Linked DNA regions of Canis lupus familiaris. The protein of the gene in region 1 purifies or fractionates together with the protein of each later gene. This does not show direct contact. Links are inferred from orthologs where the notes say so. Each region holds a gene or a part of one and is shown in the gene's direction. Other genes may lie near its edges.

Region 1 (3,679 bases):
CTCTCGCTGGGGCGGCGGGTGCCTGGCATCTGCCTTGACCGGGACCTTGACGTGACCTTGGCCGGGGTGGTAGGGAACAGGGGCAGGGAAGTGGGGGGGGCGTGGGCTTCTTGGACAGAGGGACAGCTGGGCGGAGCCCGCGGAAGGGGCGGTGTTGGTCAGACGGAGGGGGCGGCGTGGACACGGGCCGACGGGCAGCACGTCAGGCTATGTCTGGGAGAAGCCTCGAGCGGTCCGCGCGGCGGGTGGGGGGGTCACTGGCCAGGACTGCGTCGTGAGAGGCGTCGGGGAGCAGCCCCGCGGTGCTGGCGTGCGGGAAGGGCCTGCTCGGCTGCCCCCGGTCCCCCGGCCAGGCCAGGAGGAGGGCCCCGGCCGGGGGACTGGGGGACCGGCTGGTCTTGAGAAATACTTCAAAGGCGGACCCGGGACTCGGGCTCCGAGAGGCTACGGGACACTGGTAAGGCGAGCGCTGTCCCTGCCGGGAGCCGGGGTGGTGGGCCGCCGCTCCCTGTGCCCGGAGAAGCCGTGGGCCACCTCGGCCCGGGCCCACTCGCTGTGTGGTGGCCCCTCGCGGCTCCGGGGGCACCAGGCTGCCTGTGCCGCTCCTGTCGGGGGCCGGTGTTTCGGGGCATTTCTGAGAAGCCCAGGGCATAGACTGCTGGTGGGCATGGTTCCCCTCAGCTGTCCCCCAGAACCTTCTGGAAGCCGACTCCGTGACCCTGGCAGGGTTGGACGCCGGGTCGTGCAGCGGGCACTCACTTTGTGCTCCGTGCCCCGTGCCGGGCCTGGCACAGAGGCGAGGGGGCCGCCCTCCAGCACAGGGCCTTGGCTTCAGGGCTGACATGAGAGCCGGCTGCAGGGCCATGTCCTGGGGTCCGACTGCGCGGGTCCGGAGGGGCGGGTTGGCGTGGGCGAGCGGGCGGGCACAGATGGCGGCAGGTGGCCTCGGGGTGAGCCAGGAACATACTCAGGATGTGCCAAGGGGCCTGCTGAGAGACAAAGCCAAGTCGCCTGGTGGGACCGGGGCAGGGGGGTGGGGGGCAGGGCACGGGCTGGTGCAGTCCCTCTGTCTCGGAGGGTCCCCGCGGCTGGGGGGGGGAACGGCCAGGAGGCACAGGAGGCGGGGCGTCCTCATGGTGGCAGGAGGTCGGAGGCCGCCCCGTGGGTGCTGGCTGGCCTGGGCGCTGGCTGGGCCCCACGGCACGCGTGTCCTGAGGAGCCTGGCGGGCGTCTGGGGCGGCACCCATCGTGGAGCACCCGTGGTGGAGCCCTTGGCCAGACCCCGGGGGTGGGGGTGGAAGTGGCCCCGGGGCCTAGGACTGCGGCGGCCTGTGTCCGGGCGCACGGGGCTAACGCACCTGCTGGCCGGGGTCAGGGGCGGGCTCCCGGGATCCAGAGCACCGAGCCCGGCCTGGGCCCTTCGCCACAACCCTGGTGCCGTTAACGAGCGCAGTGCAGGTCTCTCCCCGTGTGACCTGCAGTAAGTGACGTTCCCTCCTGAGCTGCGGAGTCCTGTCCCCGACACGCGGGGGTCGCTGGGAGGCCTCGGCTGCCCCGGCCTGGGTCCTGACCACGACTCTGTAAGAACTGCCCGCTTCTCGTCCGGACGGATGGTGACACCCAGACCCCGCGGTGCACGTGCCCGACAGACACGGCCGGTGTCTCGGCCCCCTTCCCGAGCTTGCACGGGGTCCGTGTGTGGCGGGTGGCCGCTAACTCGGTGTCACCCTGTCTACCTCCAGGCCTCGGCCACAGCCCACCGGGGAGGGGCCGTGACCCCAGGGCCGGGCTCTGCCCCCCCCACGTCCCCGGTGGGGCGAGTCCTGAGAGGAGCAGCCCCTGCCCGCGGCGAGGGTTCGCGGGGTTGCAGGGGCGCAGGCGGTGGCCCCTCTGGAGGCAGGGCTGGCCGGTTGAACAAGCGCCCACCGCCCCAGTGTCTCAGATTCGCCAACACCGTCACTCGGGAGATGTGTTTCCTCGGGCCGGAATCCAGCGTTTCCCCAGGCCGTGCGTGGTCCCGCCCTGAGGGTGTCTCGGGGACCCGGACGGCAGGATTCCGGGTTCCCGGCAGGGGCGGCTTCCCAGTGGCCGGGGGGTGGCTGTGTTGGGCGAGAAGAGGGTCTGGGGCGGAGGTGGCACCCGCGGCCTGGGGCCCCTCCACAGTGCATCCCGGGAGTGTGTCGGGTTCTAGCAGCTGCAGGGCCCAAGGAGAAAGGGCCCAAAGGTCATGGCCTTGCGCAGATTCACGTCCGCTCTGCGCTGGGACCTGCCTCTGCGGCCCTCGCCGTGGCCCTTAGCGCACGGGTTTTCTCAGAGTCAGCCACGGGCCCTGCGCTGCACCGTCGCCCAAACCCGTAGGGGTGACCCGGGTCCCCGGGTGCCCGCAGGCCTTGCTGAGCCCGCAGCGGGCCGGTACCCGCGATGTCCTGGCCTCGCACGAACTCGCGGAGGCGCCTCTGGCCCAGTGGGCGACGTGGTCTCGGCGCGCGTGATGGGTGGAGCCTCCCACACCCGCCTCCGCCTCCGGTCTGGGCGCCCCAGGCTTGTCCGCAGGGGGCCTGACGCCCGGGGCACCCGTCTGACCGTCCCTCTCTCTCTCTCTCTCTCTCTCCTCAGTGGTCATAACCCACAAAGTCCTTCGGAAGGCCAGAGGGAACCTGGAGGTAATGCCCCCCGGGGTCCCTTAGGGAAGGGGGCCCGGGGCGGGGGCACCGGCCAGCAGATGACCTCGTCAGGAACCGGGGGCCAAAGGGGACCAGGTGCGAGTCCTGCACCAGCAGCTGTTTTCCGCCGGCAGCACAGTTTCACGTGGTGGCGCGGCTCAGGCCTGGGGTGGTGGTCGCGGTCGCGCTGCTGATCCCCCCGGGAGGACGGCACACGCCTCAGAGGAGGGAGCATGGCAGGCGTCGCTGCCGCTGGTGCCGAGAGCGCTGCCTGCTCCAACAGCGTGTCCCTGAAAGCGCGTTCACTCGGCCTCAGAAGCCCTCTGCTGGACCTAAAACTCTCCTTTTCTCCTCCTTTTCGCAGCTGAGGCCCGGGGGCGCCCACCCTGGAACGTCCAGCCCCAGCCGACCGGGCTCCTGAGACCTCCTGCCAATAAAGCTTGTGGTTCCCGCCGAGCGGACGCTGTGGCTTGTTCCCCGGGTGGGTTCCAGGTCCCGGGCGCTGGCTGCAGGACTCTGCCTCCCCTCGCGGCGTCTGTCCCGCGGCCGGCCTCAGGGGGCTCGTCACCGGCGTTCGGGTGCCGTCGGGCTCCGCACTGGGCCTCGGGCCGCCCCACCCGCGGCGCTCAGCCGCTCTGCAGCCTCAAGGTCCTCGTGGGGCCCTGCAACCCCGCGGTGCGCTCATTCCCAGCAGCGCCTGGAGCCCCGGGCCTGAGCCGCGGGGGCGGCCGGGGTGTCGGCCAGTCACGTGGCCGGCGAGGAGTGGGGTGGCCGGGCGGTGCCTGCATCCGGCCTGCGCAGGGGGCGCATCACCTCCGGGCAGGCCCCAATGGCCTCCTAGGACGAAGGGTCCACGTGAGGCCCGGCGTGGAGACTCGTCACGGTGTCCCCGGGGGGCGGCGGCCTCTCCAGCCCACTGTCCCTACACTGCCCCGTGTTGGCCGCAGCCTCTGTGTGTGACTGGCCCGTCCTTGTCCTGAGCTGCTCGCTGTCCCCGAGCAGTGAGCGCGGTGGGG
Region 2 (4,052 bases), on another chromosome or scaffold:
CCAGAGATGATGGTGGTTAGAGGTTGAGGTGGGAGGACTCTATTTTAGGCATGAGGAGACTTGGGGATGTTTATAGCAGAGGGGTGGACTTAATGGAGAAAGTGATGCCAAAGATATAAAGACAACAGAAGATAATTAAGAGTCTCTAGCAGAGATGGGAATGGTAGGGTAAATTGCCCAGGTAAGATAGGTTGAAGGGAAAACAGAGGTAAAGACAGATTAAGCTGGGAGGTTTGAAAGAACGAATGGTGAGATACCTGATAGTGCCATTTTCTGGAAACATTTGGAATCCTGATTGGAGGGAACACTCAAAGAAATAGTAAAGAAGTAGAATTAAAGACTGGATGAGGCGAATGAGTGAGAGAGATAAGTCTCTGACCGTGCCCAGGTGAATGATAGTATTGGGTTAAAAAAAGGGGGGGGGGGGAGGACTGAACAGCAGGTTTGGGAGGAAAATGTGTTAAGAATGAGTTTCTTTGTTTACACTGAATCCATCAACAGTCCATATTGACTTTTGCCTGTAAACTTTGAGATCCATGGTGCCTACTACCAAGATGAACCTCTGTTGCAAGCCGTGAGTATATAGTGCAGCAGAAGCATTTCGCTCTGCTAGATTCTGAATAGCTTCTGTTGTTAGAGGACACTGGGATATAAGAAAGGGCTTTTCAGAAAGAACATTAAGTGGAGGATTTATTTGACCTACGAACTTTTTTAAAACCATGAATACATCCCCTTGACTTGATATTGGAGATCAAGTGATCTATACTTTGAGTTCTTTATGAAAAATGGAAATCAGAGTCTCAAGGGAAAGAAAGAAAAACTGTGTTTTTTCTGGGGGAAAGGTTTTGTTTGTTTGTTTTTACAACAACAAAAGGGAAAATTGAGAGGGAAAAAAAGATTTTAAGAGGGAAAAAGAGGGAAAGCAGGAGAAATGGGGTTAGCCAGGGGCCTGGAAAAATAGTGACTCTGAGCAAAGAAAGATGACTGAGTTGGAGGGAGGAGGAAGGCAAAACCCAGGAAATCACAGGGAGAGGGCGTGAGAAAAAGAGAAACATTTAAGGTGGGAAATTGAGGACAGTGACCTTGGAGGAGATTGGAAGACAAAAAGGAGTGCTATCGGGGATGAAAAGGTTTGCAGATTGAGGTAGTGGGTGGAGAGAGAATGGGTTGATGAGAGGGCGAGGAGGCTGCGGCGGTGTTTGTGCGCGAGGCCCCGAAGCAGTCTGGGCGGAGCAGGTGGCAGAGGCAGCCGCGGAAGAGGCCTGGCCCTTGCAGGTTTCCGCCACCATCACGTCTGGAGGATGCTCCCGGGCGGCGCGGGAGGACCGTAGGAAGACCGAGGCCAGGAGGACCGCGGTCGGGCCCGGGAAATCCATGAAGAGGGCGGACGGTGGGTCCTGCTGTCGCCGCCGCTGCCCCGCGCACCTCGCGCCTTACCGGTCCGGGGACGCGGCGCGAGCCCCGCAGCCCTCTCTGCAGTCTCCGGGCCGGGAGCGACGGCATCCCGAGGCGGCCGGCAGCTGGGCGGCGGCGGCCGAGGAGGAAGAGGCAGCGGCGGCCGCCGCACCCTGGATGAGGTGAGAGCGCTGCGGGAGCCGGGGGGTGGCGGCGCGGGCGCGGGGCGCGGGGCGCGGGGCGCGGGGCGCGGGGCTGGGACCCAGGGCCCGGCTATCCCGCGCCCGGGAGGGATGGGCGCCGACTCACAGCAGCTTGGACGGGGTCGGAGGACACCCAGGAGGAGGTCTTGGGGGGCCGATGCGCTGGTGGCGGGGGAGAGGGGGGAAGAGCGGTGGGGAAGTTGCCTAGAAATAAAGATGTGCTGCTGGATTGTGCTGGACTAAGGCTTGGGAAACGCGTCTCTCTCCCAGGTCTTGACACCCGCTCTGTCGGTGCCCATGAAGTTGAAGGCCATACCTACTGGGTCGAGTCAAAGGAGAGATCAACACAGGATGCAGAAGCCATGCCAGGGTGGAAGCATTAGGGACACCGAGCAAAAGGAGATAGAGGATCAGGAAATGTGCACGGGTGTACCGTTGAAGGAGCACCCATTGCTTGCTCTTACACCCTCTTTTTTTTGTTTTTGTTTTTTTAATTTACGTGGTTTTTATTTACCTAAGATATAGCAGGGTGGGGTTTGGTGATGGTTCTTTCTTTCTGGGCTCTCTTCCCCTGCGGAGCCCGAGGGAGCTGGAGCTCTGCCTGTTGGCCGGATGAGGCCGTACAGAACAAGCTCCACTTAAATTCAGCCCCTTCCTTTGCACTGAGATGGAAGACTGGACAGATTAGGCCTACATTTTCTTCATGTAGCATTAGCAGCACAAAAATCTGCCATGCATATGAGTTTTGGGAGGAGAGACAGATTGTGCTATTGGCCATTTTTGAAATAAGCGTTTCTTTGTCTTGGCATTTTTAGCTTATTCTTTTATGGGAACCCAGTACTCATAAATCAGACTACAAGGCAAGAGTGTCTTCAGTCTCTAAGCTACCGTTAACTAACTAGGATGTGAAAAAAAGGAGCTTGATTTCCCTAGGCCTCGTTTCCTATGCTTAAAAAATCACAGTTTCGATCTTTTGAGGATTAACTACAGAACTAGATATTAATGGAAACTGCTTTCTGTGTTCAGGACTAGGCTTTATTTGTGAACTGAGAAACTAGTTTATTCACACTTAATTGTATTTATTCATCATACTGTCCACTGTGAGAAAAAGGAGTCAAAGACATTTAGTTAACAGTGCTTAAAGGAATCTATTTCTATTTCTAGAAAGGAATCATTTCTATTAAGAAACTCATAAAAAGATGACTGCTTTTAAGAAGGAATGAGGCAGCACCTAAAACTAATATAACACTATTCATTAACTGGAATTAAAATAAAAACTTAAAAAAGAGGGAGCACCTAGGAGGGTCAGGTCATGATCCTGTGGTCCTGGGATGGAGCCCCACATAGGGCTGAATCTTCTTCTCCCTCTCCCTCTCCCTCTTCCATTCCCCCATACTCATTCTCTCTCTCTCTCTCTCAAATAAATAAAATCCTTAAAGTATAACTTTAAAAAAGAAGGAAGGAGGCAAGAAGCACTCATTATTTGATTTTTTTAGAATGTGGAATTTTAGTCTAAACAATTACTTTTTCTTAAATGTATCTCTGTGGTGTTGAATATTTTTCACAGACTACTTTGGATTTTTTTAAAGCTTGAAATTTAAAAAAAATCATGTGAATATGTATTTATAATTTAAAGTCTTCTTAACTGTTTTATACATACTGGAGTGAATTATTTTCATAAAAAGGAGCATTGCTATTGCAAAATTTAAAATAGATCAAGACTCCTTTTATAAAAATGTGACTTTTCATACTGTCTTTGGTAACAAAAAGTTTATAGGGTTCTCTAGTTGTGTTTTAATTGTTAAAATAGATAGCACACTTTCATTATTTCCCTAATGGTTATTCATCTGGCAAATCTCTACATCTTAGTTGATATAATGATGAGCCTTGAAACGTTTTTAAACATTTCAGGAATTCCCAAATGAAGCAGTGTCAGGAACTTCACTGAGGTTGCTGCTACTCTGGCCCTCATTTAAAAATCAGTTCTTGAGTGCCTGAGTGGCTCAGTTGGTTAAGCCTCCAACTTATGATTTCAGCTCAGGTCATCATCCCAGGGTTGTGAGTTTGAGCCATATGTTGGCTCTGCAATGAGTGTCGAACCTGCTTGGGATTCTCTCTTTCTACGTCTGCCCCTCCCTGCTTGCACGCTCATGCACACATGCATTCTCTATTTAAAAAAAAAATCAGTTCTCTAGGAATGTGTAGCATTTATTTATTTATTTGTTTGTTTATTTATTTATTTATTTTTAAATAGGCTCCACACCAACTGAAAGTGGGGCTTGAGATCAAGAGTTTCATGTTCACCCACGAGCCAGAGGGGCACCCCTTTACTTTCAAAAACATACCTGTCTTATCTATAGTACTTGCAGTTTCTGAGTGGTAGAGGCTTGTGCTTGGGAAGGGGTGTTTTGGATGTTCAATTTTTCTGTCAAGTCAATTTAAAAATGGAAGAGG

What was found. The genes of interacting proteins can lie anywhere in the genome.
Region 2: the proteins of CDK5RAP2 (region 1) and PDE4DIPP2 purify together in Homo sapiens (affinity purification with mass spectrometry; 3 studies listed by BioGRID and IntAct, counting the BioPlex papers as one, with this or other methods). This does not show direct contact. The link is inferred for Canis lupus familiaris from reciprocal best matches to the Homo sapiens genes CDK5RAP2 and PDE4DIP.

What each region holds. Positions count from the first base shown.
Region 1 is NC_049232.1:73,962,080-73,965,758, reverse strand, and holds the end of CDK5RAP2 (CDK5 regulatory subunit-associated protein 2), read left to right. Parts: intron 1-2,616; coding exon 2,617-2,663; intron 2,664-3,027; coding exon 3,028-3,084; 3' UTR 3,085-3,124; downstream 3,125-3,679. UniProt on the Homo sapiens protein: Potential regulator of CDK5 activity via its interaction with CDK5R1. Negative regulator of centriole disengagement (licensing) which maintains centriole engagement and cohesion. Involved in regulation of mitotic spindle orientation.
Region 2 is NC_049238.1:57,721,602-57,725,653, forward strand, and holds the start of PDE4DIPP2 (myomegalin), read left to right. Parts: upstream 1-1,155; 5' UTR 1,156-1,170; coding exon 1,171-1,577; intron 1,578-4,052. UniProt on the Homo sapiens protein: Functions as an anchor sequestering components of the cAMP-dependent pathway to Golgi and/or centrosomes.